Lonchura striata: one gene and its partners. The main gene of each other region encodes a partner of the protein of the gene in region 4 in a complex. Links are inferred from orthologs where the notes say so. Each region holds a gene or a part of one and is shown on either strand. Other genes may lie near its edges.

Region 1 (7,532 bases), on a different chromosome or scaffold from region 4:
GGGAGGAAAGGCATTTCTTTATTCAGCCTCTTGAACAGCAGCTTGCTGGAGTGTGGCTCTGCAGCCATTCCTCCTGTCTGGATGAGCCTAGGAGGGAAGGGATGTGATTGCCCAACCAAAGGCTTCTTCCCATCTTTCTTGGGCTATGCTGTTACTGTTGGAGCTGACCTCACAAGCAGGGCAGCCTCATGATGTACTGTGAGTGATCAGTGTAACTCAGGTACACCCCGAAACAGGCGGGTCCGAGCAGCTCACAGGCACGTCACCGGTCCCAGGGGAGGAGGACACCTGCAGGAGACCTGGCTGAGCCTTTGCCACATCTCCAGGGCAGGACAGCACCATATCTGTATGACAGCTGGAGCTCAGGAACACAGTGGGGCTACCAAGGCATGAGTGAGACTAAGCACTAAAGTGTTTCAATGTCCCTATCCCTTCTGTGACATTTCTAATGTGGGAATAAATGTTTCTCTTGATTTTTGATATCTGTTTGAGCCATGCTCCTTCTGCTTGTAGAAACTGTGCAAACCTTCAGCCTTCTATGGCTCTTCCCTTCAGCAGCCCTCAGGATGAAACATTTTCATCCCTAGACATAATGGCTCTCTTCCTCACTCTGTGTAATTTCTACATCCCCACTTTTTTAATGTAAAATAAATGCATCTCCCACCAGTGTCTGGAAAGACACCAAAGCTCAGTTGTCTTCTTGCATCTCTGCATAACAGTGACATGGAGGGATGAGGCTCTCTCTGCTGGCTTTTCTCTCAAAAGTGAGGCACAGAAATTATTTCTGTGATTTTTGTATGTGTCTGTGTCTGAGCAGCTGCTGCTCACATCTGCAGCAAAAGCTGCTGGATGGGCTCTGCTGCAGGACAGCATGGAAGGAACGGGATGCTGATGTGGCAGGGATGCACCTCCAGGAGCGCCTCTACCCAGACAGAAGAGATTAGTGTTTTGGAGAAATTAAGATAAAAAAATGTCCAGCAGGGGCCAGTGCAGTCGAGGCTGTGGTGTGTGTCACGCTGCTGAGCCACGTAGGGCAGCTCGGCGTCCCAGAGCTCCTGGGAGGATGGAGCGGGTACACCCAGGCCACTGCTGTTCCCCACTGGCCTGCAGAGGGGACTCTAGTGAAACTCCTGAGAACAAAGAGAGCCTCTTTTCATAGCAAATCACCTCCATCAGGCTTTCCTCCATGGCAGCAAAAGCTGAGTCTGCTGGGGAGAACAGCATTTTGACCCTTCAGGCTAGATGTTCCTTTACCAAGTGCTTTAGCCCACAAAGCTTGAACTTGCCAGTGATACTGTGCAAAACCCTGCCTCCCAAAGCTGCTCCTGCTCTTGCAGAGCATGAGGAGATGCCAGTGGTATTGAAGTACTTCTGGTCTCCCTAGATATGGAGAGACATGAGTTTTCAAATTTGGAAGGCCACTCAGAAAGAGATAGAATAAAAAGACCAGGGTGTTTGCCATTCTTTAGCCACAGTGTCATTCTTTACTCTTGATTCCTTCCTGTAAAATCATTGTAGGCCTCCCAGTTGAGAAAGCAGCACACTATACCTAGCCCTTCCCAGCAAAAGTCTCTCTGGTTACAAGGGATGCAATGTCTTTTTTGTTTCAGCTTGGAGAAACAAAAGATGTTTTCATCCATTGTGTATGGACCAAAATGAAAGTCCTTTCAGCAGCTTCCTCAGAATTTTTTATTCCTGAGCTGTCCTCAGTACCAGAGTGTGAAGAGGCTGAAGATGGAGAGCAGAGATATGGTTGATGTGGCAGTTGCCTTTCAGATGGTATTGGTTTCACATCTGTCTATCTTGCACTACAAGTGCACACCATGATAATGAGTAACACTCTTATCTAGGTTTTTCACTCACAGCAGAATACAGCAGAAAGCCTTTTGTGTCTCCCAGGGACATCTGCTAAGGATCTCTGTGAGTCAGCTTGAATTGGTTTATCTTTAATTGAAGTCTCCAGATAAAACCTCTGTGGGTAAAATTTGGCAAACTTAATTTCTTTCTGAGGGTAATAGCCTGCTATGTGCTTGGTTCCAGTTAAATTCTGGGCAGCACAAGAGGAAGAGGTTGATGACCACCTTCAGGAAAACCCTATTTCTAGGAGGTTCCTTCTACCTGGAGGTAAGAAATGCCTGGGGCCAGCCTCTCCTGTTTGACCCTCTTCTCAAGGATTTTGCCTGCAAAGAGCCACACTAGTGGCACTGTGCTGAGTATTGGTGACCCAGGAGCAGGTGCCACCACGGTGAGGGTGGCCGTGTCTGTCTGGGTTCTGCCCACATTTCACTGATCAGCAGCAAACCAGCTTGGCATGTGCAGGTCCCCAGTGGGGAAACTCCTACTGATCCATCTGTGGCTTCTTTACAAGGCTCAGGGGGGGAGGGAGGGACACAGCTCTTCATCATCCCCACGAGGACATGGGAGACAAATTTAGATTTGGGTGTCCTCCAAACAACAGCCCATCTACAGACAGGCCAGTGCTGCTCCGATAGTATCAGATTATCACTGGCATTGAGGAAGCTTTCATTCAGCTTTCTGAATCTCATGTTTTTCACACAATGAGAACATTTCCTTAGTACCATCTACCAGAAATTACCTTACTGCAAGCTAAAAGTTCATAATTTTGGCAGTCATAGATCCTACTTTACAGGCGTGGGGAGAAACCAGCCTTTTGATGCTGTCCTAAAAACAGTGCAGAGTGCTTTACATCTGTTTTTAAAGAATTAGTAGAATGGGTCTGCTGGCACTTGTCAGAGAAAAAGGTGAGTATTGCAGATTCACTGCTCTGGCCCTTTATAATTCCCTACCCTTTAAACTTTATTTCCAGCAGTGTATCTTTGCTGTCCCTGCCTAACACCTATACAGGAGTCAGTCCCCTGATTATTTCCATGGGTGCTTGCCCTGGCCCACCCGGCTGACATCACTTGCATAATTTGGCTGATGTTGGAGGCCCACGGTTTGACCTTAATTACATTGCTATGTAGCTGTTCCGGATGTAACATTTGATAGATAAAGCATAACACAGTAAAAAATCGCAAAATGTAACTGGCAGAAATACCAGAACTGAACTTACACAAAGATACTTGCCTGGTAACTTGCTAACCAATCCACAAGCAAGAGCTCAGGCAACCTGGAAGATACTCTCCACCCCAGAATCCCACCAAGGTCAGCCTGCCTGAAGACAGCACAACTCTGCCTCTGGGGAGAGGGCATTTTAATCTCCCTTGACTTTTGAGGCAGTACCTGGGCGTGTTTCCAGGACCACATTCCTTGTGTCCTGGAGGGCCTTGGTATTGGTAGAGCAGCCAAGTGGATGCAATGTCTGTTTCTCATACCACACCCCACTGCACAGCCTCCTGCCCTGCTCCACCCCAGAGGAACTGATTTTTGGGCACCAGTAGTGCCTGGCAATGTTCTTCACAGCATCCCAGCTGTGCTGCACTCACAGTGCGACCCTGAGCAGGATGCTCAGGTCAGGGGCCAAGAAGAGTCCTTGGTTTATGAACATCCCAATATTTTAAACCCTCTGACTCCACTGGGCTGCAGAGAGACATTATACTTAAAATCTTGTTTACAGGCAAAGAAGGAGCACAATGTATCATAGGTAGAGCCAAGAATGTATTGTGAGTGCAATGGCATTCTTGAGACTCCAATTGTTATCAGTTTAAATCTGCTGGTTGCAGAAAAGCAAGAACATTATTGCAACTTCAATTTTTTGCACACACATAGTTTCTATCCATTTTCCTGGTGTTATGCTCACACTTATCCCTGCTCCTTTGGGCCCTAAGGCTGGTGGTTGTGGTGAAGTGAGGTGTCAGAAAGAGCTGTCAGCACCTCCAGTCCTTCCCTGGGATGAGTGCGGTGTTCACCCTGATTTTCCTTCTGTCTTTTTCCAGGATCTGTTTTGGATTGTTTTTCTGTTTTCCAACATGCTTTTATATCTTATTCTCTCTTCACTGCTTTATACACAACCGACTATAGGCAGTGCCCCTTATGTATGTTAGACACTAATTTTGTTCTCTCTGTTACCACTAAACCTAGTTTTGCCATCTCCAGATCTGCATTTTTTTTACCTGACCATCAGTGATTTGTATAGAGCTGTGTGGCTCCACAGTGCCAGCCTCTGCCCCATTTTCTACACTCCCATACCTGTACTCCTCTGTGCTGCATCCTGCATTCCCACAGCCCAAGGCCCCTGCTATTGTACCAAACTCATATTTCTACACACTGTGTCTGAGTGGAAAATGTCTCATTCTGCATAGAAGGGGGGAAAATAAGGGGGTGACAGCTTTGACGTGCTGTCACAGCACCTCAGGCATTTCTGTCTCTGTGCAAATCCTGTCCTGTGTAAATACTTCTGTCCCTCTGAGTGGCTGCATCCTACTTGACAGTTTCACAAGAAGCCAGCAGGGCCCAAGCACAGCACATCAGTACTTTCTCAGCTCAGCCCCTAAGCTCAGCCCAGGAAGCTAACCATGCAATTTATGTAGGCATGAGCATTAGAGAAGAGGAAACATGCATTTAAATCCAAACAGGCTCAGCTTGAAGAAAACATTGGTTTCCAATGCAGCTATGAATTAAGGTAAGAGGCAATTGTATTTTCCCTATAATTTGACAGGGAAAAATGAGACAAAGGAAATTCTCCACTGCTTAGTGCTTGGAACCTAAATGATATTTAATTTGGGTAAAGATGATGTGGGTACCGTTTACAAACTGTGAAAGTAAAAAGGGAAGCACTTCTGTTAACGAAGTGAACCAGGGCAGATAAATTTTACTCAGTCACTAATTATTTGTGTCATCCTGTGGTACAATGAATATTTACCCTGGATAGAAATCCTCAAGGTTAGTAAATGCTGATATATGACTGGTGTGCAACAGTAACCTAGAAGAACAGACAAGAAGATACAGCCCTTCTACTTCATTAGAAGTTTTTCCTTTGATGCCTGCAGAGATTTCACAACTCACCAGCATTGCTTGCTTCTAGTTTTAGTCAATGAACCAACATCCAAAACATCACTGACACTGAAAGACAGCCAAAGCAGAAAATCTGATAGAGTCAATAGAAAGCGTCTGACACAGACAGACCCGCAAGAGAGCAATGGAAATTAAAGACATTTGAAAACACGTACCTTTCTGTATAATATACTTAATTTTTCTGTGACTCAGCTTTCCACAGGAAACATGTTACATGAACATGTCTGATAGTTTGTGTGAGACATTTGGGTAATGCCACAGTGGTGGCAACCTGCTAAGTATTTGTGTGATAAAAACACAGGTCCACAGCAGTGGTTTCCAAAATCTGGTCTGTTGGGGCAAGCCCTGTGTGCAGGCAGTGCAGCCAGAGGCAGGGAACTGGATGTCAGGATAATAGATGGCAACTGCAATGAATCAAAAGGGTTTGGGCAGTGCAGAAAAAGTGCAAAAGGGAGAAGAAAAGGCTAAAATTTGACAAAAGACAACGCATAATAAATTGAGAGTAAATCCCATTAAAAAAATTATATTTCAAGGAAGGAGCAGGCACTTAAATCTCATCCATACATAATCAAGAAGGTTTAATGTGCTCTGCTCTCTGAAATGATGGAGAAAGTTATTTAAAAGATCTCCCACTTCTGGAGAGCCTTCTCTGATTTCTCAGGGGTGCTGGGGCAATGTGAAATTATTAATCACAAAAAGGGGATGGAGGCAGGAAGCAAATAGATGCCACAATAAAGGTAGTGAGAGGATGGAGCCAACAGTAACCATAAACAAGTACAAACAGTGCTCATAGCTACAAATAATAATCTGATTTTGCTGTCCCTTCAACAGAAAATACAAAAGAAATTTGAATGCTGCTTCAGAAGAGAAAGCCTGGGAAAAAGAAATACCGAGGAAGAGCAGGTAAGAGAAAACACTGGCAAAATGGTCAGCTATACATTTGAAAATATAGGTACAGAGTGCCTGAGCAATTGTGCAAGCAGAAAGGGCAATTAGGGGAACTAACAAGCTAGGTGAAATACCTGTGAAATAAATTTTCTAAGAAAAACCCGATCCTGGCAGTCACCATCCAGTCACTATCGTCAAATGACAACCCCAAAGACCCAGTTCCCTGAGGGCAGCTCTTGGGAGGACACCTGCTCCCTCAGCTCTGCCACTGCTTCCCAGCAGCCAAGTTAAAGTGCTCGCCAGCCTCTGTGAGGACCAAAATAACTACTGCTCTACAACAATGCTCACCATTTACTTAATTTCCTATCCCATGGCTGATCCCTGGGAGCAGGGCACTGCTGGGAAACCATTTCAGGCTGCAGAAGCTCTGTCAAGGTCCCTTGCTTCTGGTCATAGGATCAAGACCACCCTGAGAGATAAGGATGCAAATTTCAGAACCATTTCAGTGATTTTTGAACCTCAACTTCAACATGCAAGGGAGACATGGGAGTATGAGTTGTACTGTCAGGTCATCTTTCATGGAGTCTTTTCTGAAACAGCTTCACGTGCTCAAGAGACTTGGTCATGCCCTGAAACATGAACCTATTCCCTGCTCCATGAAGTGTGTGGGCACCAAGGCTCCTGCATAGCCACCTTGTCAGTCTCAGAGGGGCTTTGTCTCCCCAGTGCTGAGGGAAGGAGTTGAAATCACTGCAAGCTTCAATTTTTTCTGTAAATACACCAGCCACAGGGGTGAGCTGCCAGGGGTCTGGCAGGACATAACTTGGCCCCAGCAAACCACACACTGCTGTGGTGCAGCTGTCCCTTCCCAGTGGCTCACAGCAAGTCTGCCTGGTGAGGCAAAAAAAAATCAGCAAGTGGGGGGATGTTGCTGAGGGCAGGATGTGCCCAGGACACCTGGGTTCAGTCCCCTGTGCCTGCTTTGTGATGGCAGCACAAACAACCTGAGTGGGGCCACCAGACTGGCCAGCACACTGAAGGAGCAAGGGCAAGATTTTGTTCAAAATAATACTTGTGTTGTTGCTCTGAAAGACAGGTGATGAAGCCCTTGACACTGGCAGAGACATCCAGAAGAAATTCCATGTTTTTGGCTTTTCTTAATAAATCATGAATATACCTAATTTTGATGTGATGGGCTAATATAAATCTTGTGTTCTGGTTACTTACTGTTACCTCCAGGTGTGCATGGAGCATCACTGAGGAAGCATTTTCCAAAACTATAATGCCCTAGGTAATGCTGAGAGAGACCCTTGGGATTTTGGACTCTGCATTATCTCATGCCTTCCATTATCAAAGTCTGATCTCTCCACATGAATTTTTCTACCAAAAACCATTGGTTTAAGTTTGTAGATTTACATGCCTCTCATTTTCAACTAGTGCTGTCTGCTTCTAATTTAATTTGTGATATTGGTGTAAAAACTGTAGAATTGGATCAGGGAAGTGGCATTTTTAAAATATCTTTGACCTAAATACCGTTGTAAAGGGATCCAAGGCCTCTGCAATAGTCAGTCATATTCTTATCAGCAGTGGTTTTATCAGCTTCTATTTCTGAGTAATTTACTTATGACACTTTAAGTGGCCTAATTCTTTGGAAGCCTCAACATAATGTT
Region 2 (7,953 bases), on a different chromosome or scaffold from region 4:
GATCCGGGACCCCCACACCCGGCAGCCTCCGGCATCCCCAGCCTCTCCCTGCACCCCATCCGTGTGAACGGCGCAGGAAAAAGGGAATAGCTGGAAAAGGCAGCCTTAAAAAAGCTGCTGTGCCCAGGGTGGGACAGAAAAACATGAGTCAGTGTTTATCTGGGCAGAGCCGGCCGGGCTGAGCGGGTCAGGTCGGGATAGGATGGGATGGATCCCACGGATCCTCCCGGCCACAGTGTGGGGTCACCCCCATGGGGGAAAGCGCTCCAGTCCTGCCAGGAAAAGGGGTTTAATCTCAAAATTTGGGTTAGGAAAGACCCCTCCCAGGGTGAAACTCCAGCAGAGGAACCCGGCCTTCCCTAGCACCAAGTGTTGAAAGAGCCACGCTGTTCGTAAAATCCCGGCCTTTTGCTCCATCCATTCTGCTCTTGGAAAGGTTCGAGGATTAAAGGGGGAAAATTCGGGTGTTTTCACCTACACAGGCAAAGATTTCCTTGAAAAAGGGCAGTCTGTACTTCTGAGCTTCTTAAAATGACTCAACTTCCAAGATAATAAAAGTTCTTTCATCTCCTCTGCTCTCTTCTAATAATCCAAGGTTTTCTCCTGGCACTTCTCAGGCAATAAAAAGACAAAAAAAACCTCCCTTTTCCAGAGCATCCTCCCTGCTACACCCCAGCAGTGCAGTGATGCCGTCCCTCACCACGGCTTGGGCTTTGTCAGGGGACAAAACCTTGGGGACGTCACTCTGCATTTGGGGCGCACAAAGGGACAGAAACCCAAGCAAACGGAAATAGGGCTGCGGGGGGGACGTGACCCCGCAGGGGATGTGGCACAGCAGGGGACAGCAGGCTCAGTCACCCCGGATCCGTGGGAGCATCCTCCCAGCTGTGCTCCGTGTCCCCAGCTGAATGCTGATCAGCACGGCAAAGAAAAGCCACCCTGTTCTCCCTGTCCCCAGCAAGGGGACACTGCCACACTGTCAGGACATCAACCCCCCCAAATTCTCTGCCAGCTCCTCTCCCTTCCGTGCTGTTTTGCCACCCCCCAGGCTGCAAAGCCCAGCTCCAAAAGAGGCTGGGGTTGTAGGGAAAATTAGGGGCTTTGTGGTGAAGGACAGTGGGGATCCCAGAGATCCCAAACCCACTGTAGAACAACAAGGGAGCAAAAAAAAACTCAAGTGGTTGCAAATCTCCAGCAAACCCTTCCTCCCAAATCCCTACAAAACATATAAATTAACGAATATATGTAAATCCAGGGGTGTTTACCTGAGCTGGATAAATCCCCAAGGAATTTTCAGCATTCAGAAGCTGGATTAGACATCTCTGCTTCTCCTCCAGCCCCGTTAGGGCTGGCATGGGAATGACCCCGGGCTTGTGGCTTTGGCATCCAGCTGGAGCTGACACGGATATTGCCGAGCTGTCTCATCCCGAGGAGAAGCACATGGGATGGGAGGATGAGGAAAATAAAGGCAGCCCGTGGAACAAACCAGCTGCTGGCCTCAGCAGAGCTGGAAGGGGAAGGGGGAAGCTCTGGGGGAGGATGTTGAATCTGCGGAGTTTAGCCGGACACAGAAGGGGATGTGGCAGCGGTGACATGTCCCGTCCACCACGGCTCCTGTGCTGCCCACAGTGGCTTGGGAATCTCCTGGGAGCCTTTGGGAAAGGTTTGGGTATCCCTCATTGTGAGCACAGCCAAAGGGTCCCCTCGGCTGCCTTTCATCCCTGCTCCCCAGGCACCCCAAATCCATGCTGGGATGCTCCTGGCTCACACCCGCAGGAGACGGGGAACCCAAAGCCATTCCTGGGGTGCAGGGAAGAAGAGAAGCTGCTCACGAGTCCTGTCCATTCCCAGCTGTTCATCCCATGTGAGGACATCAGCCTGGCCTGGTTTGTACCCCCAAAGAGAGCGTCCCCAGCCAAGGGCTGTCCCTCACCACCCTGACCTCAACCCTGTGCCAGCCAGGAGCTGCAAATCACCAGTGGCATCCACGGTGCAGGACCAAATCCCTGCCCTGAGCCAGGACATCTGAGCCAGAGGGAGATGCAAAACAGCTGGAGCAAAAGCTGCACCGTGCTGTGAAAGAGCATCACCTTCCACCAGAGCTCCCACCTGCTCTCCCTCAACGAGATCCATGAGTTATCCAGCTCTTGGCTTCTGCCACGCACAGGGAATAAATCCCAGTTCCCTCAGAGCTGGAAAAGCCCCACCCAGGTGTGACCAGGGGACAGGGGGTGATGCCCGCAGGGAGTGGTGGCAGGTGGGAGGGAGCTAAAGGCCACCACGTCCCGTGACGTGGGGACATTGACCCCGTCCTACGTGGAGGAGCTCCCGTGAGAGCCGAAAAAGAGGAATCGGAGGCGCTGCCGCCTTTGCACAACTCTGTGTCGCAACTCTGTGTCCCTGAGCTGAATCAGGGCTAGAAAAATGCTGATGTGCCGGTTCCTGGGGCTGCTGCGGGGAAAGGAGAAGCCCCAGAAAGCCGTGGAGAAGTGGGCAGGGATGTGCCAATCCCCTGTGGAGCCAGGCTGGGGACTCGTGACCGGCTCCCCGGTGTCCCTGTGTGCCAGGAGCCCCGCGATATTCCACACTGGTGGCACATCCCCAGCGGGGTGCAGAGGAGCGGTGTGCCAGGAGAGTGGGAAACGCCGCCCAAAATGATAAAACCCATGAGAAGAACGGATGGGGAGTGGCACGGCCTGGATCTGCCCCATCGCTCTGCCACCTCGTCCTGCGCCATCTGCTCCCGCAGTGTCCCCCCACCGAGTGACCTGTCCGTACCTCGCACGGTGCCAACGCTGTCCCGCTGCTCCGTGCCGGGCGGGACGGGCTCGGGGTGCCCGGGGTGCCGGCAGGATCCCATTCCCAGGCGGATCCCGGCGTGCCGGGACACACACAGGCACGGTGCCGCTCCCCGCCGCTTTTAAGGCAGCGGGGAGGGAGTTGCGTCCATCACCAAGGTTTTCTTGGCAGCGCGATGCTCGGCGAGCAACAGCTGGGAGAGGGTGTGACGCCGGGAGCTGGGAACGCTGGCCTGGATCACAAGCCAGCGTGAGGAAGCAACAAACGCTTCCCGAGGGGCCTCCTTTCCTGTGCCGCCCCCCGGGCCGGAGCGCACCGTCCCACGGAGGGATAACGGAGCCCGGAGCGCTCCGCGGGGATGCTGCTCCAGCCCGGAGCCCAAGGGGAGGCAGGTGGCTGCCAGCCCCCGCCGCGGTGCTGTCCCCAGCCTGGGGCAGCCGCTGTCCTCTGCTCCCCACACCGCCCCCAAATCCTTCCAAGACGTTGAGTCACTTCCCTTCAGGCAAATCTGGCTCCCAAACGCCGTTCCTGCTGCTCAGGGGCTGCTTTTCCCGATGGATTTCATTACCACCAGGATGCTGCAGATGCTTCCAGGCAGCCCCCCCAGCCCGCAGAGGCTCAGTGGTGGCAGCTCTGTCACCCTTTAACACCTGCAAGAAAAGTTCTTCGGGGGCCACGGAGGGGCTGGGAGAAGCTCCAGAGTCCCCTGGGGAGGAGGGATGGGAAAGGCTGGATGCAGGGATGGGATTCAGGGGGACAAACAAGAGGATTTTGGGGCAGCCCCCCAGACTGGGAGCACTGAGCAGCGCAGCCTCCACCCACACAGAGCAGGAGGTTTGGATAACCCCAGGCTGGATGTGGCACCGGGAAAATTCCTTCCCTCCCCACGCAGCTCCCGCGCTCCCAAGCCTCAACCACACTAGTCCCAGCACCCATGCCAGTCCCAGCATCCATCCCAGTCCCAGCACCCATGCCAGTCCCAGCACCCATCCCAGTCCCAGCACCCATGCCAGTCCCAGCACCCATCCCAGTCCCAGCACCCATCCCAGTCCCAGCATCCATCCCAGTCCCAGCATCCATCCCAGTCCCAGCATCCATCCCAGTCCCAGCATCCATCCCAATCCCGGCACCCATCCCAGTCCCAGCACCCATCCCAGTCCCAGAATCCATCCCAATCCCGGCACCCATCCCAGTCCCAGCACCCATCCCAGTCCCAGCATCCATCCCAGTCCCAGCACCCATCCCAGTCCCAGCATCCATCCCAGTCCCAGCATCCATCCCAATCCCAGCATCCATCCCAGTCCCAGCATCCATCCCAGTCCCAGCATCCATCCCAATCCCAGCATCCATCCCAGTCCCAGCACCCATCCCAATCCCAGCACCCATCCCAATCCCAGCACCCATCCCAGTCCCAGCACCCATCCCAATCCCAGCACCCATCCCAATCCCAGCACCCATCCCAATCCCAGCATCCATCCCAGTCCCAGCACCCATCCCAGTCCCAGCACCCATCCCAGCGGGATAAGAGCCAGTGCAGGGCTTGGGAGCAAAGGCAGCACAAGGAAACACAAGAACTTTTGGCACTGGTGCCCCCTCACCCTCCTCCAGCCTGGAAAAGGAGCAGGATTTTCCCCCACTGGGACACCCCAAAATCACCGCCCTGAGTTTGCCACCAGACATTCCAACCCTCTGCCCAGCAGAAAGGAAGTTCATCTACCACAGGATACTAATTAAGGCTAATTAATTATCCTCAGCTGTAAAGACAGGGGCAAAAAACATCCTGAATCCAGCCAGCAAGGGAGAAAATCCATTGCGAACTGATGGGATTTCCTTTTGTGTGTCTGGAGTTAAACGGTGCCACCAAGAGATGCTCAGCCCAGGCAGCTCTGGGTGGCACCAGCCGGGACCTGGTGGGAGTTTTTGGACTTCCCAAAACCACCCCAGGGCCTGCTGGGGCTGGGAATGCTCAGCTATGGATGCTCCTGCACGTGGCCTTGCCAAGGCCTGACCCCGGGACATCGAGCAATGACCGAAATCCCGGCAGCTCCGGGGGATGACCTGGCTCAATCCCGGTGATCCCAGCAAGGCCGAGCTCTGCAGCCCCCCAAAACCAACCCCCCAGGCACCCGGCACTGCCCAGGCCCGGCAGGATGCAGGATGCTGCTCTCACCCTGACCCCTGCGTTTAGCAGGGTGAAAGGTGCTGACTCGGGATAGGATTTCCCATCCCGAGCGTTTGCGGGTTGGGTTTTTTTCCCTCCAGGGCGCTCAGCAAAGCCCTGCGGGGAAGGAGAAATCCCCGCTCCCGCTCCCGGGGCTGCCGCTGGGGCAGGATCCGCACGGGAGCAGCGCCGGGAGCGGCAATTCCAGGCGCCGCGGCCGCGCAGCCTTTGGCAGCTGTCATGTCCTTCCTTGGCAAGCGCCGAGTGCCACCCACACCGAGCAAAGCAATTAAAGCTCTACATTGATTCGGGCTAATTAAACGCCCTGGAGCAGCTCCCTGCCGAGCCGGGATGCGCGGATGGGGTCGGGATGCGCGGGTGGGACCGGGATGAGCGGATGGGGTCGGGATGCGCGGATGGGGTCGGGATGTGCGGGTGGAGCCGGATTGTGCGGATGGAATGCGATGCGCGGGTGGAGCCGGGATACGCGGATGGAGCCGGGATGCGCGGATGGGACCGGGATACACGGCCGGAGCCCGGCAGGTCCGACCCCTCCAGCTCTCGCCCTTCTTCCCTCCCACACAGGCGCTGGGAACCCGCCTGATTCATCCCGAAACAGATGTCGCAGTCAGTGGGGAAGAAGCTGGAGGAAGTTTTCCCTCTCCAGGGGAGCTTTCTCCGGCACCCAGCAGCACTTTCCCTCGCCCCGGGCAGAGCCGTGGGGATAAATGGCTGGGAAAGGAGCTGGGCTCAGCTACGAGGACAAGACGGGAGGATCCCGCTGCGTATCCCAGCTCCCAGTGCCGGGCTTTAGAGCTGGGTTTATGCCCAGGGACAAGCCTGCCCTGCCTTTCCCGCAGGGAGCTCATCTCATCCCTGGCTCCACACCCGCCGCGCTCCGACCTCCGCATCCCGTCACTGCCTCCCGATCCAAGCGCGAACTCCCTGCCCAAAGAAAGAAGCCACAGACAGGATGTCCAAGAGACGGCTCCCGTTCCCTTTTTTCGCTGATTTGATACAACCGCGGCAAAAAAAAACAAAACAACACCAAAAACCCCAGTCCCAACCTTGTGCAACTCGAGCTTATAAATAGCCCCAGAAACACGGCGGGGCTGGGACCAAACCCCGCTGTGCTCCCGGGGCTGGCACCATATCCCTGATCCCACCCCTGGGATGGGCAGCTCAGGGATCTCCACACCCCCAGATACCCTCGCAGAGCCTCTGTTTGCCTCCAGTCTCGGATCATTCCCCCCAATTTTCCACGTGCTTCCCTCAGAGCTGTGCCAGGGGACAATTCCGAGGTCTCGGCTCCCAAAGCCCACCCTTGGCAGAGGAGGATTGATGGGAACATTCCCGGGACACGGCTGGGCCCTGTTCCATGGATTCCTCATCTGTGGCATCAGCCACCCCCTCCCATCCCCATCCTGCTCCCCAGGAGTGATGGAAGTGCCACTTCAGGAGATTTCTCCATGATTTCCAATTCCTGCTGGAGCAGGGATGAGGAATTGCCAGGCATGGACACTCTGTTGTTGCCTTGGAGCCCCTGAGCAGGTGACAGACAGGATGTCACCTGCCCAGGGATTTACGAGCAGAGGTGGCATCGAATCCTGGAGTGGCTGGGTTTGGAAAAACCTTAAACTCATCCCATTCCATTACCTGCCACGGACAGGGACATCTTCCACAGACCAGGCTGCTCCAAGTCCCATCCAACCTGGCCTTGGAATAAGAAATTCCATTTAAAAAATAAGAGATTCTATTAAAATGCCTAAAGGGCTCCAGGTCTGGATGCTGCACATCCCACTGGAAAATGGGAGATGCTGACAGGATTCAATTCCTTGTGCTGGGAACTGCTGGAGCCAAATTCAGGCTCATCTTTCACCCTGAACTCCTTCAGCATCATCCTAAAGTCCTCTGGATGTGCTTTTCCTGCTGCTGGTGTGCCGAGTGAAGACACCAAACGTGGATAGAGGGGAGCATTCCTGAAATCTCCCAGCAATAAAATCAGTGGGATCTGCCTGATAAAACCCCTCAGGAAACTCCCAATCCTTTAAGGCACCAGCTGGATTTGTCTTAATAACAATAGATTCCTTCAAATTCCCAAACATCCATAAGGAAACCTGCCTCATTTATGGTTTTTTTAATTAATAAACCCAGTTTTCCTTGCAATCAACATCTGGGAACTCAGCATTCCATGGAGCAGAGCCTTGCTGGGACATGTATTTTTGAAGCTGACTTTTCCAATGGCCCCATCCTGCTTCCCATCACTGGGATGGGCCCAGGAACTGCCCAGCTCCGGGTGGGAAGGTTCAAATTTCTGCCAGCTCTGAGCAATCCATGCCTTTTTTGGGGTTTTCTTGGCTGTGGGGGGGTGGCCTTGGTGCAGGTTCCCTAGGCTCCAATTGCCCTGGAATTTGTAAAAATAACAGCAAAATACGTTTTATTCCTGAGCCTTTGCCAGGCTGGGATTGTTTCTGAAATGAGGGAGTTGCTTGGTGGTGCCAGGGAGATGTGGGGGTACCTGGACCCTCATTGGGGTTGCCCACAGCATCTTCCCTGAATGGATCTGGATCATTGATCCCAATAATCCAGAGCTCAGCCCCGTGCTGGATACAAGCCTTTCCCACACAGGAGCCCAGTCCCAAAATCCAGCTGTTGTCTCAGAATTAGTTAAACAGATCCAGAAATGTAGGGATCCATCCAGAGGGGGCTGTTGATGGAAGCCAGATTCACTAACACGAATGAATTCCTGATTTTTATTCCATAAAAAGTGCAGAGGGAATCTCTGATATCCATGGCCTGGAGTGGACGCAGAAAATCCCCAGAACTGCTCCCAGCTGATGGAGAATGGAGCTCCCAGAAGGATTCAGACATTGGGAATACCTTAGAAATCAATAGGGATAAATTGAAAATTCAGGCAGGACTTCACATAATTCACACACACTCCCTTAAAACTTATTGGGGGAAAAACAGGTTGGGAAAAAGGAATTTGGGAT
Region 3 (7,416 bases), on a different chromosome or scaffold from region 4:
CATAAAATGCCTCTTTAATTTTTGCTGTTTGGGAAGCGCTTTTTCTACAGGGAGGCTCAGCAATCATGATTTGTTATTGTATTACATTTCCAAGGAGCAAGAATCTATTGGGAGATGCTAAGTGGATGCCTCGGTGCCTCATTAGTGCAGGTACAATCTATTAAGCCCTGACTGAGTGGGAGAAAGTTTCCAGAAACTGGCATGTCTCTTGCTGATAGATTTTTAAGAAATTACAGCTCCAAAGAGCAAAATTCTTGCTCATCAGACTAAATTCAAGCAGAAAGTGAGATTTTAATTCAGATGGTCTTTACTCACTCTGTTGTACTTAAGAAACTTATTTATTTCTAGTGATTTTTTTCCCCTAAATTATTCTTGAGTTTTTGAAAGTACTAACATGCTAGAAGTTTGATTAATTTCCTTCTCAAAAACTCATTTATCTCTCTGTAAGGGAACAGTCCCTAGCCAATGGCTGGCAATATTCAAGGAATATTTTTTATAAAAAGTAAATGTAAAAACTTGGTTAACCTGCCTGTTGTTCCCACTCAAATGACAATGTCTCAGCCCAGCCAGGACAGTTTGGAAGTGTAGCTTCAGTATCCTTCAAGCAACATAACCAGCTACTTATTTAAACAATTTTCTACACACCACTGTATTTACTTCCTTTTTTTCCTAAGTAAATTTATTATGTTTAAGTTCCAGCCTTAACCTGAAATTATCAGGAGATAGATACAGACTTTTTTGACACTGGCTGGCATTTTTTAAACAACTCTCTTTAACACTTGGCCTATATTCCATGAATATTAAAAACAGTTAACAGAAGATGGATGCATTCCAAAGAATGATTTGGCCTTCCAAATATAAGCTCAGACTTCCATGCAACTCTTCTTTTAGCAGCTCCGTTTTCTAATTTACGCTGTTCGAAATGTCATTTTTTCCATGACAAGATACAGTCTTGTTCTTGTGATAGCATTTCCCAAATATGGATTATTGGATTATTTTTTCCAAGAGGTTGGAGGAAAAACTCATCTTGACAAGAATCCCAGAGCTTCCAGATATGGTATTAATTTTCCCAGCTTGTCTAAACATTATCAATATCAACTAATTTGTCATCAATGTAATCTCTTAGCAAAAGAGTATTTAAATATAATTTTCTTTAAGTACTGCTGTGCTGTCTTATATTCTTTGCTCTATTACCTGTGTGTAAAAAGAGAGTTTGCTATAGATGCCAGACCTGTGAAATTACTCTGTAATGAAAGAAAAGTCCTTTGTGCTGTGATGCAGGAAATAAACCCTTGAGCTGTAAAATCCCTTATAAACAAAGGGGAATTTCCAGGGAATGTGGGGAAAAGCTGAGCAGCTGCAGTGGTGCCTTTCTGTTCTGGGTTTGGAACCCATTTTTCTAACTCAGTCTAACAGGACATCTTTCCTACAAGGATAGCAAAAAAAACCTTGATTTTTTTTTGGACTCCACCTTGTCCTACTACTGACTCCAACCCCTGACAACTGTAAAATTGGTGACTTTATCCCTCTGCATCAGAAATACAATTAACTTTTAAAAATGTAACTCACCCTGTCATTCAAACATAAAGATCTGGTTCTTTCCAAGTGGCTTGGGAGATCACTACTCACAAAAGTAAAAAATAAGGTATGTGAATAAGAGCTGGGAGTTCTTTCAGTGGTGAAGTTGAATCACAATGAAAAGTCTTTAGGGATTTACTTTAATTCAGCTCAAGTGAACTTTTGGTGCTTTGGAACTGTGTGAAATCCATCACAAAATGGATAGATTTAAAAATCCTAGTGGGTGTGAGGAGTGGAACCTGTATATTCAGTCTCTTCAAACATCTGGTGAATTTACCATAGTAATTTGATGAGTTCCTTCATATTTTAGCAATAACTCATTGTAAATATGAAAATTTTCCTTTCTAGAAATACACACCTGACTTAAACAAGCTCCTTGATTGTTTTTTTTTTTTTTTTTTTCTTCAGGCAGCTTTAATGTTTTTTGTGGGATTAAGCAGATGGTAAAAGGACACAGGGTTTCTTAATAGTGAGAGAGCCTGGTGTGGTGCAAGTAAAAACTTTAAAAACATCTTATCCAAGAATTCCCATTCCTCTCCATCATTCTTGTCTGTAAAGGAAAGCCTGGGGTGGCCACATCAAGAATGGGGTAAGTTTTAGGGCAGGTTATGTCCCTGCTTTAGGTTCAGCCCCCTCAGGATGTGCTGGACTGGTATATGAGGAAAGATATGTATGAAAATAATGCATTTACAATTTTTCCTCGCAAGAGCACCATTGTTTTCAGAAGGGGTTGAGGGTTTAAGTTATTTCTCATCCTTTCTTCCACTGTTCTCCCTAAAAACAAGGAACCCACCCCTCCCTGCCTGTTTTTCCCTGCCAGGTACCCTTCCCTTCCCTTACCAGAAAGATGCTTGAAAGAAGAGCATAAATATTTTCTGTGCAGACAGGAACTCCTCAAAACCATCTCAATTCAAGTGTGGCCGTTAAGTACAGTGGGGAATCTGGGCTTTATCCATCTGTTTCCCCTCCCTTCCTTCCCATTTCCATGTGAGCATCCCCTCCCTGCTCTGGTCTTTGCTGCGTGACCCGCAGCGACTCCTCTCTGCCCGGGGGCAGGGGGGAGCCTGGGGACCTTTGGAGCTGCTGGATCTGCAGCTTGGACAAATGTCCTCCGGGGGAAAAGCTGGCTGAGCTTCCTACAGGCTATTGCTGCACTTTTAGGATTTTCCTTCAGCTCGGTTTGCCCCTACGGGAGACTCTTTGCTCCACTCTGCTGCTCTGGGCTGGGATGCGCCGGGTCAGGAGCAGCCAAAATCTGCCAAGGGCTCCCCAGTTTGTGCCGAGGGAGAGTTCTCAAAAGCAGAATGTGTTTGCTAGTGAGCTGTGCTGCTCCTGTTTGCTTTCCTTCCCTGCTCCTCTCGCTGCGCTCGGGGGGGACAAGCGAGTTCCGAGGAGCCGCCCGCGCTCCCCCAGCCTCCGATGCCTCCGATGCCTCCCATCCCTCCCATCCCTCCCATCCCTCCCATCCCTCCCGTCCCTCCGGTCCCTCCCGTCCCTCCGACCCCTCCGATCCCTCCGGTCACTCCGATCCCCCCGATCCCTCCAGTCCCTCCAATCCCTGCCGCTGCCCCTCGCCCCAGCTCCCTCCTGCCTTTCCCCGCCGCTGGTCGCTCACCAAAGGCCGGAGGAGAGCGGGCAGCGGCCGCGGCAGCTCGGGCAGCGGGGCCGGGCGGAGCCGCTCCGCCTGCCCGGGGCTGGGCTGGGCCGGGGCGCGGTGGAGGCGGAGGAGATGGGATGCGATGGGAAGCGATAGGAGGCGAAGAGAAGTGATAGAATGCGGGGGGGGGGGGGAGGCGTGGCAGGTGGTGGGAAGGGATGGGATGTTTTGGGAAGCGGTGGGATGATATGGGAGGTGTGGCAGGCGGTGGATGCTCTGGGATGCTCTGGGAAGCGCTGGGATGCTTTAGAAAGCGGTGGGGTGCTACGGGAAGCGGCGGGATGCTTTGGGAAGGGGCGGGATGCTATGTGAAGGAGTGGGATGCTATGGGAGGCGTGGCAGGCGGTGGATGCTTTGGGAAGCAGTGGGATGCGGTGGGATGCTTTGGGATGCGGTGGGATGCGGTGGGTGCGGTGGGATGCGGTGGGATGCTTTGGGAAGCGGTGGAATGCGGTGGGATGCGGTGGGATGCGGTGGGATGCGGTGGGAAGCGGTGGGATGCGGTGGGATGCGGTGGGATGCGGTGGGATGCGGTGGGAAGCGGTGGGATGCGGTGGGATGCGGTGGGAAGCGGCGGGATGCTTTGGGAAGCAGTGGGATGCGGTGGGATGCTTTGGGATGCGGTGGGTGCGGTGGGATGCGGTGGGATGCTTCGGGAAGCGGTGGGATGCGGTGGGATGCGGTGGGATGCGGTGGGATGCTTCGGGAAGCGGTGGGAAGCGGTGGGATGCGGTGGGATGCGGTGGGATGCGGTGGGATGCGGTGGGATGCGGTGGGATGCGGTGGGATGCGGTGGGATGCGGTGGGATGCTTCGGGAAGCGGTGGGAAGCGGTGGGAAGCGGTGGGAAGCGGTGGGTGCGGTGGGATGCTTCGGGAAGCGGTGGGTGCGGTGGGTGCGGTGGGATGCTTCGGGAAGCGGTGGGTGCGGTGGGTGCGGTGGGATGCTTCGGGAAGCGGTGGGAAGCGGTGGGATGCGGTGGGAAGCGGTGGGATGCTTCGGGAAGCGGTGGGAAGCGGTGGGATGCCGGCCGGTCCCGCCGCGGCGCTCCGGGACGCTGCCGAGGGTCGCTCCGCTCTCTCCGGGGAAGAGCCCGGCTCTGGCGCTGCGCTGCCCGCGGCTCCGCTCTGCCCGCCCGCCGGAGAGCCCCGGGTGTGGCCGCAAACCTGCGGAAACGTGAAATGTGAAATGTGAAATGTGAAATGCGAGCTGGCTGCAGCGGGGACGTGACGTGGGGGCTCACCCGAGCTGACCCCAGAGTCTGCGGAGGATCCGAGAGCACGTCCCGGCCTGGGACCGTGCCAGCCCTCATCAGCCACAGCGCTGTCACCCTTCTCTGCTCAAGTACCTGGAGTTTCTTGTAGTGGAGCTTTCTTACACAACTACTTCAATATTGTAAATGCAGGCGAACCCAATGGGATGAAATGATGATGTCTGACTCAATTCAGAAGCCTGAATGATTTCTGTATTATCACTATGCTAAAATGCATTAATATGCTATACAAAAGGAGGATACTAAAACTACATACTACTTTCTCTGACTCTAACTAACACAACGTCTGACTCTCTCTCTCGAGTCCAGACACAGATGGATTGGATTGGATTGGATTGGATTGGCCATCAGGATCAATCAATCCTCACCAGAATCCAACCAAGCGCTCACCGCAGGTAAACAATTCTCCAAACACTTTCCACATGGGAAAAACAAAGATCAGAAATAGAAATAGTTTTCTCTTTCATTTCTCTCTGTGCACCTCTATGAAAAATCCTGAGAGGGAGAGAAATGTGCTGCCACACTTCAAGACCTAGAAAAATGCCACATGTGTAACACATTATTGTATATTCAGCTAAACTGATGTTTTTGTGATTCACATAGGTCCAGTACATCTTCTCTGTGTTAAAGATATGCATAAGATTTGGGAGATTTTTTTGCAACTATCTTACTCATATTCATTCCTTTCTTTAAGATCATGCTCATTTAAAAAAAATGTTTAGAAATGTATTGCACAAAGCTCTCTGTGGAGTCAAACGCGGAATTTTGTTATGTAGGTGACAAAGAAATTGTGCAACGATGTTTTTTGCAAACAGCATTGTTGGGCACTTGGTAACTTCATTGTTTGAGCAACTGGTGAAGAGGTATTGTGAACTTTGCACAATTCCTCCCCACCATGAGCAAACAGGAAAATACAGGAAATCCCCATGTACCTGCCCTCAGTCTAAGAGGATAACATTCATTGCCAAAAGATGCAACTCTCAGCAAAATGATACATCCATTAGCTCCTTTTTTGCTGTTACTAAGGCAGTCTTTTTGCCCTTGAATTGCTCCCTGTCCCACTGCAATTATGATAAACCCAATTTGGGTTTTGGGACCCAGCTTAGGTCCTGTCTCTGGGTGTGAGAGCAGGGAGCAGGCTCTGCTCAGTGCTGCTGAGAAGCAGAAGAGGCAGCAGGCAGGAAGGGATGCACTGGACAGGAGGCACAATTTTCCCCTGGACAGTGACCAAGCACTGACCAGACTGCTCAGTGAGGGTGTGGGGTGTCCCTCCCTGGGGATGCTCCAGAGCTGTGTGCCCACAACCCTGTCCCTGTGCCCTGGGATGGCCCTGCTGGAGCAGGGAGGTGGCACCAGCTGAGTCCTGTGCTCACTTCCAGCCTGAGCCATGCTGGGATTCTGTGCTGAGAGGTTTTGCCCTGGAAAATGGTTGTGCAAGAGATGAAAGTCTTTTCTTGCTGGTGCCTGTACACAGGATTGAAGAACAAGTTGTGTGCTCCCATCCCACTGCCCAGCCCAGGATGTTTCTGCAGCAGTTTCCTGCTCAGTCTCCTTTGCTGTTTGACCTCTTTGCTGAGTGCAAACACTTTTCAGGTAGCACACTGTAAATCAGGGCTGTTTATAACTTTTATATAACACTGATTTGCAACTGCTCCCTGTGTTTATTCTCATTTGGACTTCTTCCATGCAGACGAGGCTTCCTACAAGCACCACCAGAGATGGAGGCCTTAACCCCCTGCTGAAGTGCTGCTGTGAGATGTTCCTGCCTCCCAGCAAACGTGTTTGTTCCAAACTGGATTTAACGTCCTTTAGAATGCCAGGGGCTTTGTCCTGCTGAACATAGAACTGGAATTTGCATTTATATAGAAAGGACCAAAGTAAAGCACAGAGTTCCAGCATGGCTCAGGCTGGAAGTGACCACAGGGCCTCAGCTGGTGCCACCTCCCTGCTCCAGCAGGGCCATCCTAGGGCACGTGGATGGGATTGTGTGCACATAGCTCTGGAATATCCCCAGGGAAGAGACCCCACAGCCTCTCTGGTCTCTGCTCAGGGCTGGGCAGAGGGGCAGGATAGTTCCAGGTGTGCCCCAGGGCAGAGGGACAGGATCGTTCCTGATGTGCCTCACAGGCTGGGCAGAGGGGCAGGGTCACTCCAGATGTGCCCCCAGGGCTGGGCAAAGGGACAGGATCACTCCAGATGTGCCCCAGGGCTGGGCAGAGGGGCAGGATCCCTCCCTGACCTGCTGGGAGTGCTTTTCCTGATGTCCCCAGGATGCCACTGGCCTCCCTGTCCCCAGGACACCCTGCTGGTCACACCCCTGGGAGCTGTCACAGGAAGGAGCCCGGGAGATGAACCTCTATGGTCTCATGCCCCGAGATCTGTGTTCATTTTGAAATTGTAATTTATATTGTCAGGCAATACGAAAGTTGTCATCACATGTGAACAAGCTCACAGAGGCTTATAGATAAGAGTTTCACAAAATATTTGTACAAATTCAGCAGTCTTTTACAAATTTCTCAGGCTTTTCAAGCTTCCTCTTAAAAACTTCCAACCCAGGCTACTTTTGCTGGAGGATTCTGAAGAAATCCTATTTCAAACAAGCTCTGATGGAATTTCAAACAAAGCAAATGGATTATGCTCGGGGACATGGAGCCCTCTTGATTTACACCATCATTACTTTTTATTTGGGAAAACTGAGCAGCAGGCTAATAATAGTACAATTTTGAGTGTTTGCCAGGGTTTTTTTAAATGTTCACTGTGTCTGCATGCCCACTATTCTTGTTTTTAATTCTGCATATTAAACTTCAGAGTACTGCAAGAAATTATTAAAGTAGATTTTTTGATTAAATTTGCAGATTTGTATAAATAACAAATAACAAATAACAAATAACAAATAACAAATAACAAAT
Region 4 (8,148 bases):
ATACTTTTGTATGTTGAACTTTTAGCCAAAATACTACATTGCACTTATATTTTTTGTTCAGGTCTCATGAAATTTAAGTTAAACATTGATTGAAAATAGTATTAAAGTAAATAAGCTTGTTTATGTACTGGTTTTAAAAGATAAAATCATCAAATCCCATGTAAAAAAAGTATTTTCCATCTGGCTTACCAACTACAAGGTCAAATTCAGCTTACTTCTAAGAATGATGGTTCTCAGAAATTTTCCAGGAAAGGCTCTGCTGCTCCTGGGGATAGCACATTGAAGTGCACAGAATCACAAGGCTAAAATAGCTATACATGAATAATGTTTAGAATCCAGTATTTTTATTCCTAATACCTGCATTCAAAATTTTAGGAAGTGATGAACCAATTTACATATATGACAAAAAACTCAGACAATCCAGTTCAATAGTATTTTGGGTAGATTAAATATATCTGCTTATTCCTAGAGACAGGACAACAAAATAGAAACTTAACAGGTATCAGCGATTTTGTTCACAGTGAGGGTTCAGGTACAGCAATGTCACATCTCTCTCAACTGAATCCCTACAATTTCCTGTTTTAGAAAAAAAAACTTAGAAAAGCATATGATGGAGTAAATTAAGTTTCCAGTCTAGAAATCGATTAATTTTACGAACACATCTTCCCTCAATTGAGCATTCTAGCTCAAACTTCAGTAGGCTTCTCTAATCACCAGGCAAAAATAGATTTTTTATATATGCTGGAATAAATCCAATTTAATGGGTCAACTATAATAATAATAATAGGTATACAGTTACATGACCTTTTTTTACATAAATAAGGTTGTTTCAACTGCCACTCGCTCATTGCATTTGCCTGGCAGCAGACCACAATTTTTACTTTTCCTTTTATTTCAGTACCTTTTTAGCAGAACAAACCCATAAATAGATGTAGGAGTACAACCAAGTGGATGATAAACTATGACATGTGGGCTGAACAAGCAATTGGGAAAGTGAGTGGTGAGAAGAAAGTGACTCTAGTGGAAATAACTTTAAATACTTTTGCCACCAGATAAAGCATTCACATCACATTCAAGACACCTGACAGACTTGCAAGGAAGAGGAAGGCAAAAAACTTTCATTCCAAAACATGTGAAATAAATATCCATGGGTGCATGCACAAAGGCTCATCCAGAGTTCACTAAACATTTAGGCAATCATTGTTAAAACAATAATCCCAGCACTGGTCCCAGGAGAAGCCAGGCTGCCAGCCTTCACACCTCTTTTTAGCAGGGGAGAAGGAAATGCTAACCCAAGAGAACTGCTGCTCAGGGCACCCTGAGAACCTACATGCAATTTGACCATTTGTTCCATGCTCTTAGCTCTCCTGAGAGCCCAGCAGAAAGGCTTTCCAGCATCAGAAACAGAGAATTTATAAAATTTGAGCTCATAACATAGGACTTAGTACGTAAGAGCATTAAAATAGTGACAAAATCCATTCTTAAGTTTAAAGCATCTTTAAACAGATGTCATCCGTAGCCAAGAATTATGATAAAAATAGGAAAACCAGTACCAAACTACAGGCACTACAAGTTCCACACAGAACAGCAAAAAATTGAAAATTAATTTCAAATGCCTTGCCAGATGACACAAAGTTTTACTTTGCCACTTTTTAAAAAGGCAGCAACATCTGCAGCATTGCTATTATCACATACAGGAAAAGCTTTCCACAAATAATCTGAGGATTCCAACGATGTTCAGGACTAGGCACAGTACCAGCCCAAAACTGAGCAGATTTAGGTTTCCACCAATAGGCTTCCACTTCCAATTCCTGGAGAACAATTCGAGCTTTTGTTTCTGGCTTACCTCACAAGTTAAATTTTAAATCTAGAAAGTTATTTTAGGATCTTTGTTTTTCCCATTCTGGATTTGTTTCATTTCTTCATCTACAATAAATTTTTTGTCCCTTTCTGGAGCCATCTTAGAATTTAGCAACACAAAGTTAAGAGGTCTACTACGTTTGTAGTCAATAGAGCACTACGGGAGAGCAAAATCAATGTCAAGGAGAGTGAGATATTGTGCATCATTTAAAAAGTTTGCCTAAAACGGCACCTCTGAGAGAGAAGCTGCAACTCAGCAGCTATTTTAACTGGCTATTAGATCCAGTCTGGTTTAGCTATACAGAACATACTGCGAAACTTCCTACAACATTAATTCAATGCAAATCTTGCAGCATTCAGTTGTCTCCAACCTCCAGTAGTTTTAATCCTCAACAAATGTACTCTATTTAAAATTCTCACTTCCTATTTTCTTGTAATTTTAAAAATAACCTTTTCTTTACACACAAGAATATCTTAAAATACACAAAAAAGGCAAGTTTCAAGAAGAAGAACGCACAATGACAGTAAGTCATATTACACACGTAAGTAGCTCCATCAAGCTGGTATTTCCCGTTGTAAGATCCCAGAAACTGTTCCAAAAAAAAAAAAAAAAAAAAAAAAAAAAAAAAAAAAAAAAAAAAAACCGAAAAAAAAACCCCACCCAAAAGTTAAATGGTGCTTTGCCTTCTTTTGACACTTTTTTATACTTTACGCTGCAGCAACAGTTCAGGAGTTGTTCGGGTCTACAAGAAAACATGAAGAGCAAATATCCCCCCAACGTAAGGTTTCCTTCCTTTCATCAGAGGAACAGAGACTGCAGGTCAGAAGTTTCATGCGTTATCCCGTTCCTATGAAAGCCAGGGCCCGGGCAGCCCACGCCGCGCCGCTTCCCCGGGCGCTGCCTCTAATCCTTCCAGCAGCCGAGGCTCCACCTGCTCCAGGACGCTGCTGCCCCAAAACCTCTGAGGGGCCCCCAGCACGCACCCCGGGGTCCGAGGGCAGCACGGCCCCCCGCCCAGCCCGGAGGCTTCCTATGAAACTGTACCCTCGGCAGGCGAGGGAGCTCCGGGCAGCGGCCGCCTCAAGAGGAGCCTCCCCTCACGGCATCCCTTACCTAAGAGGAGCAGCTTGACCTCCCTGGCCGCCTTCTCGCCGTCCTCCCGCAGGTTCCTGTCGATCATCTTGCTCCTCTCCACCGCCGCCTTGTCCTCGGCGCTCAGCGTGCAGCCCATCTTGGCGCGGGGCTGTGCGGCTCCGCCGGGAGAAGCGAGGCAGGGAGCGGCGGGGCTCGGCGGCGGGGCGGCGCTGAGGAGGGAGTGGGACCGAGCGCTCCCCGCTCGCTCTCTGCTCCCCCGCTCCCTCACCTGGGGCGCGGCGGCGTCGCGGGCACCGCGCGCCGGGCTCGGCTCAGGGCCGAGAGGGGAGGCGGCGAGCGGGAGGGGCGCGGGGAGGCCGGGCCGGGGGAGCGCGGAGCGGGGGCAGCGGCGCTGCGGACGGGCGGAGCGAGGCCGCGCACCGGGGCCGCCGCTCCCGCCGCCGGCCCTGAGGCTGCTGCGCGCGCGGCACCGCCCCCGCCCCGCCGGAGGCGCGCGGCCGCGCGCGCGCCGCCCACGCCGGGAGGGGAGAGGGGAGGGGCGCGCGTGCACGGCGGGAAGAGCGGCGGGCGCGGCCGCGCGTGCGCACGGCGGCGGCGAGGCGTTTTGGGGCGGGGGGCGGAATGGGGGGGAGCGCTGCGGGAGCGGGGCTGGAAGCGGAGACGCAGCGGGAGCGGAACGGGAGCGGGGGCGGACCGGGGCTGAGAGCAGCGCGGCCCGTGACGCCCCCGCGCGCGTGCCCCAGGCAGTTGCTGGGGAGGGGCTCGAATTTAAACTGCTCGCGCGCGGGAGGTTCCATTGCTCGGCGGGGCGGGGGAGAGCCGGGCTGAGCTGTACCAATGGAGTACCCCGGGGGGGGAGGGGGTCGAGCTCCTCGTCCCCTTGTCCCGCTCCGTCCCCTTGTCCCGCTCCGTCCCCTTGTCCCGCTCCGTCCCCTTGTCCCGCTCCGTCCCCTTGTCCTGCTCTGTCCCCTTGTCCCGCTCCGTCCCCCCGTCCTGCTCAGTCCCCCCGTCCTGCTGTTTGTGCTGCCGGGATGCAGGGAAGCACCTCGGGGTGCAGCCCCGCCGTTGCTGGCTGCTGGCAGTCGGCTCTCGGGCGGGCTCTTACCTGGACTCATCCGTCAGCTTTACCCCACAAACCCAAAGCCAAACGAGCTATCCCACCTCACGGCTCAAAGCTGCTCATCCCGCTCTCTTTCCTGATGGACCTTTCTTCATCCATGTATATGAGTATTTAAATGGGGGAGAGGGTGCCAGGAGGATGGAGCCGGGCTGTTCCCGGTGGTACCAAGCAGGAGGACGAGGGATAATAGGGAAATTGGTGCAGACATAGTTCTACCTGAACATGAGAGAGAGCTTCACTGTGCAGTGACCGGGCACTGGAACGGGTTGCCCAGAGAGCCTTCCCCACTGGAGATACTCCAGAACCATTTGGATGCCATCCCGGGCCATGTGCTCTGGGATGACCCTGCTAGAGCAGGGAGGTTGGAACAGATCCCCCCAGATTCCCCCTCCAGCCTGACCCACTCTGTAATTCTCTGTCCTAGCTCAGAGCCCAGGCACGGGGCTGTCTGCACATCTGTGACCTGCCAGAGGTTGTTTTATGACTTGTTTTGCTCTTTATTATAAAAATCCAAAGGAAACTATGCAATGCTTATGAGTCTTTCCCCACCACACACATGTTGCGCTGTTTGGATTGCAAAAGAAAGATCCCGTTACCCGATAATAGGATCACAGAACAAATGGGGTCGAAGGGACCTTGGGATAATCCAGCTGAGCTGCGGTGCGACTGGGACCCACAACCCCATCTGGGGAGCACTGATAGGGTGAAGCAGTGATTTCACTGAAATTCGTGGATAGAACTCTGCACAACCGATAAAACTTTGTGAATCTCAGGATAAACTTTGGTCCAAACATAAGGCGCAAAAGCTGACAAGGTAAATCTGTTCAAATTAAGATTCATCATTCCAGTGAGTCCAGGATTTTTTATTTCTATAGAATCTCAAGAACTTCTGCCCCCAGAATGAGCTCAAAAAGAGCAGCATTTTACAGCACAGAAGGTGTTTTAGCATTAGAGTGCAAAAACTTTAAGTCAGACTCAGCTATTACTATACTTAGCAAATTAAAAAGCTTTTTTCCTGTAAAACTCAATGGAAAAGTTGTAGTAGCAAACGTTCTATTTTTGTTGGATGTGTCAGATTTTCTTCTTTGCAGGGGTCTTTGAGTGCTGACAATGAATAAACCATAAGTAATGATGTAAAAAATGAAGTAGATAACACTCAAACGATAACTTAAATATTTTTCTCATCTTCTGATTGGTAGGCATACTTTCAGTCCTAGTAAAGGATGTTACAGAATTCTTTCTTAAAGAACATCAGTTCTCAAGATTTTATTAGACCTCAGAGACATTTTATTTGGTCATCTTCATTGTCCCACTGCTATGGAGAATGCCAGGGCACCTGAGAGGTGTTTGTTGCTTCTCTGCCCTCCTGAGTTGTTGAGGTGCTTAGTCCATTTTGTGTTCTCTTGGGCAGACTTCCACACTGGTACTGTGTGGGATAAAAGCTTTTACAAAACAATTCATGTCACTTATGGAAACCTAGTCTTGTTTTAGGGTTCCTGACCTCTCCTGTGATAGAGGGAGCAATGTCAACTGCTGCTCAGGAAAGAACAGAGTTAGTGGAGATAAAAATTAATAAGCTTAGGGATATTTTTCTGATTTGGAAATCAAGGATAAAGAATGATTTCTGAGATAACACGTGGTTAGGATATTTATAAGTGAAAGTACAGATTAAGGGATAAGAAAGTAGTAAACAGAGATTATGGTAGGTGGAAATAATGTGATAATGAGAGCGGCAGATGTTACAGAAATGGAGATACTACAAGTAGGACACCTCAACTTCACATGGATTTTGTTTCAATTAATCATGTGCATAGAGCACACATTTCTATACTTTTCACCAGGAGTATTTCTTAGGGTGTTCTCTCTGTCCTTTTTCCCCTTTAACACTGTCACTACATTCATAGGCAAAAAACATGAAACAGCCCCAAGTTCCTGTTCTTTTTATCACCCTGTATCTGGAAAACACGATTGTATGGTATGTCCTCTTCTGCACATATAACTTAGTCTTAAAAATAAAGGTTGACTTCTCTTTTTAGTTCTATTTAACCCAAACCCACTTTATTTCATAATTAGGACTTTTCTACTACCTTTTCCTATTACAACCCTGTGGATAAATTTTACCTGATTGTACATGGACAATATTACAAAAAAAACAGTGCAACTCCTGAGCATTCTAACATGCATTCCTTTGAAATTTGAAGCCAATTGGTATAGATTTTTAATTTTTCAGAAGTGGAAATACTACATGGCCCAGGTTCACCAATATTTCCTTATGCAGTCTTTTTTGAAATAATAAGAGAGCTTTTCAACAGTTCAGCAATGTCAGTTGTTTACTTCTTATGCAGCAATGGTGCAGGGGATAAATTATTGTATTCTAGTTGCTTCACACACATAGCAGTTCTTAGGATCATGGAATAGCATAAACTCTTTTTACAGTGCCCAAGAGGGCTGAGGAATGATTGTGCTAGCTCTGTTGTGGCCAAGAAACTCTGTCTATTCAGAACAAAGGTTGTCAGTGCAGTGCTTTATAACAATGTCTTACATGGTGCTGTGGAGCAGTGCTGCCCTGAATCACTACCTGGAACAGCCACAGATCAGTACCTGATGTCTGAAAGGATTTCCTTCTAAGATAAAATAGTCTACTAGACAGTGAAAGAAGCTATAGTTAAGTAGATAAATCTAGTCTATATTTGGACAGTACACCCATGATCCCTGTGTTTTATTCCAAAACATAGGGAATGTGTAAGCTCTAACTCATTGATTAGCATTGCCTCACAGCAGTATGGTTATGTGAGACAGAGTATTTCATCCTTGTAGTTAGAACTGCACAGCTTCTACCTTCATCTGACAAATTGGGATATTGCTCAGGAGCTGTGTGTTTCATGGCCTCATTCCTGAGAGGCGATTATTCCAAGAGATTTTGTTGTTTTGCTTGGTTTAACAACAAATAGCTGTTGTTTGATATGACCTCCTTTTGAGTCTGCATTCACCAGCTCCTGGGCTCATTTTTCTGTAAGATTATCTTTAGCTGCTGCTGCTGCATGGACTTAATAGATAAATTTCTTGTGTTTGGTATGGAATGCACAGTGTTTTATGGAGATGATGATCAGCCTTAAGCCTTCTATTTTGCTCGTTTTCAGATTTTAATTTAAATTATCTAATTTAGTCATCTTATTTGCTCGTCTTTAACCAGACACAGTACACAAAAACATATATGAGAAATTGAATATAGTTGTTAACAAAAGAAACAGAGGAAAGTGGGTAAGAATTTTAATTTCTGCCTTTGAAAAAGTAAATAGAGCAAAGCAAAATTCTTTCTGAATAAAGCATGTAACTGTATGCATAATTATATCTCAATACCTGAACTGCAATATTTTTTATTTAAGTTATTTAATTTCCTTTTGTGCTAAGAAAATATAATGTTCCCAAAGTATGATGCAAGGTATCTTCTTCCATACTGATTATTCCAACCCTTCTGCCATGAGCAGGGACACCTTCCACTAGACCAGGCTGCTCAAAGCCCCATCCAGCCTGACCTGGAGCACTTCCAGGGATGGGACATTCACACCTTCCCTGGGCATGTTGTTCCAGTGTTTCACTGCTCTCACAGTAAAGAATTTCTTTCTCATATTTAATCTAAACCTGCTCTCTGTCAGCTGGAATCCATTCACCCTTGTCCTGTCACTACATGCTCTTGAGGAAAGTCCCTCCCTCTCTGTCTTCTTTGTAGGCTCCCTTCAGCTGCTGAAAGGCCACAATGAGCTCACCCCAGAGCCTTCTCTTTTCCAGGCTGAACAAATCCAGTTCTCTCAGCATTTCCTCACAGGAGCAGTGCTCCATCCATCCAGTCAACTTGGTATTCCTCCTCTGCAACTGATCCAGGAGGTCCATTGGTCTCCCTGTGCTGGGGACCCCAGACTGGGATGCAGTGCTTGCAGTGGGGCAGAATCCCCGCCTGGCCTGCTGCCCATGGTGCTCCAGACATCTCCCAGGACACAGCTGGCTTTCTGAATCTAAAACAACAGCTGTATTACACCATTTGAAACTTAAACAGATGAAAAAAATAATTAAA

The links.
Region 1: the proteins of GNAI1 (region 4) and CX3C chemokine receptor 1 are in contact, whole or in part, in a cryo-EM structure (PDB 7XBW), measured with the Homo sapiens proteins. The link is inferred for Lonchura striata from reciprocal best matches to the Homo sapiens genes GNAI1 and CX3CR1. Residues at the interface, in NP_002060.4 of Homo sapiens: Glu28, Ala31, Arg32, Glu33, Val34, Asp193, Leu194, Phe336, Thr340, Asp341, Ile343, Ile344, Lys345, Asn347, Leu348, Lys349, Asp350, Cys351, Gly352, Leu353, Phe354; in NP_001164642.1 of Homo sapiens: Val52, Ala55, Leu56, Ser64, Thr66, Asp67, Leu70, Arg127, Ala130, Ile131, Ala134, Ala135, Met138, Asn139, Asn140, Arg141, Gln144, His145, Thr217, Leu218, Asn223, Lys226, Ala227, Lys228, Ala229, Ile230, Leu232, Tyr293, Gly297, Glu298.
Region 2: the proteins of GNAI1 (region 4) and CMKLR1 are in contact, whole or in part, in a cryo-EM structure (PDB 8SG1), measured with the Homo sapiens proteins. The link is inferred for Lonchura striata from reciprocal best matches to the Homo sapiens genes GNAI1 and CMKLR1. Residues at the interface, in NP_002060.4 of Homo sapiens: Glu28, Ala31, Arg32, Val34, Lys192, Asp193, Leu194, Asp315, Phe336, Thr340, Asp341, Ile343, Ile344, Lys345, Asn347, Leu348, Lys349, Asp350, Cys351, Gly352, Leu353, Phe354; in NP_001135815.1 of Homo sapiens: Asn74, Phe78, Arg137, Ser140, Val141, Pro144, Val145, Ser147, Gln148, Asn149, His150, Arg151, Ser152, Val153, Ile243, Lys246, Leu247, Leu252, Ala253, Lys254, Lys257, Pro258, Ile261, Ile262, Met319, Gln321.
Region 3: the proteins of GNAI1 (region 4) and HRH1 are in contact, whole or in part, in a cryo-EM structure (PDB 9LRD), measured with the Homo sapiens proteins. The link is inferred for Lonchura striata from reciprocal best matches to the Homo sapiens genes GNAI1 and HRH1. Residues at the interface, in NP_002060.4 of Homo sapiens: Arg32, Asp193, Leu194, Asp315, Phe336, Thr340, Asp341, Ile343, Ile344, Asn347, Leu348, Asp350, Cys351, Gly352, Leu353, Phe354; in NP_000852.1 of Homo sapiens: Arg125, Ser128, Val129, Pro132, Leu133, Leu136, Lys137, Thr140, Ile213, Val217, His220, Cys221, Arg409, Lys412, Ala413, Gln416, Leu417, Cys471, Asn472.

What each region holds. Positions count from the first base shown.
Region 1 is NC_134603.1:112,954,572-112,962,103, forward strand, and holds the start of CX3C chemokine receptor 1, read left to right. Parts: upstream 1-4,464; 5' UTR 4,465-4,582; intron 4,583-5,805; 5' UTR 5,806-5,877; intron 5,878-7,532. UniProt on the Homo sapiens protein: Receptor for the C-X3-C chemokine fractalkine (CX3CL1) present on many early leukocyte cells; CX3CR1-CX3CL1 signaling exerts distinct functions in different tissue compartments, such as immune response, inflammation, cell adhesion and chemotaxis.
Region 2 is NC_134620.1:11,454,766-11,462,718, reverse strand, and holds the start of CMKLR1 (chemerin-like receptor 1), read right to left. Parts: upstream 3,015-7,953; 5' UTR 2,779-3,014; intron 1,487-2,778; exon of another isoform or gene 1,266-1,486; intron 117-1,265; exon of another isoform or gene 1-116. UniProt on the Homo sapiens protein: Receptor for the chemoattractant adipokine chemerin/RARRES2 and for the omega-3 fatty acid derived molecule resolvin E1.
Region 3 is NC_134614.1:5,355,916-5,363,331, forward strand, and holds the start of HRH1 (histamine H1 receptor), read right to left. Parts: upstream 3,269-7,416; 5' UTR 3,194-3,268; intron 1-3,193. UniProt on the Homo sapiens protein: G-protein-coupled receptor for histamine, a biogenic amine that functions as an immune modulator and a neurotransmitter.
Region 4 is NC_134607.1:62,428,782-62,436,929, reverse strand, and holds the start of GNAI1 (guanine nucleotide-binding protein G(i) subunit alpha-1), read right to left. Parts: upstream 3,212-8,148; 5' UTR 3,093-3,211; coding exon 2,975-3,092; intron 1-2,974. UniProt on the Homo sapiens protein: Guanine nucleotide-binding proteins (G proteins) function as transducers downstream of G protein-coupled receptors (GPCRs) in numerous signaling cascades.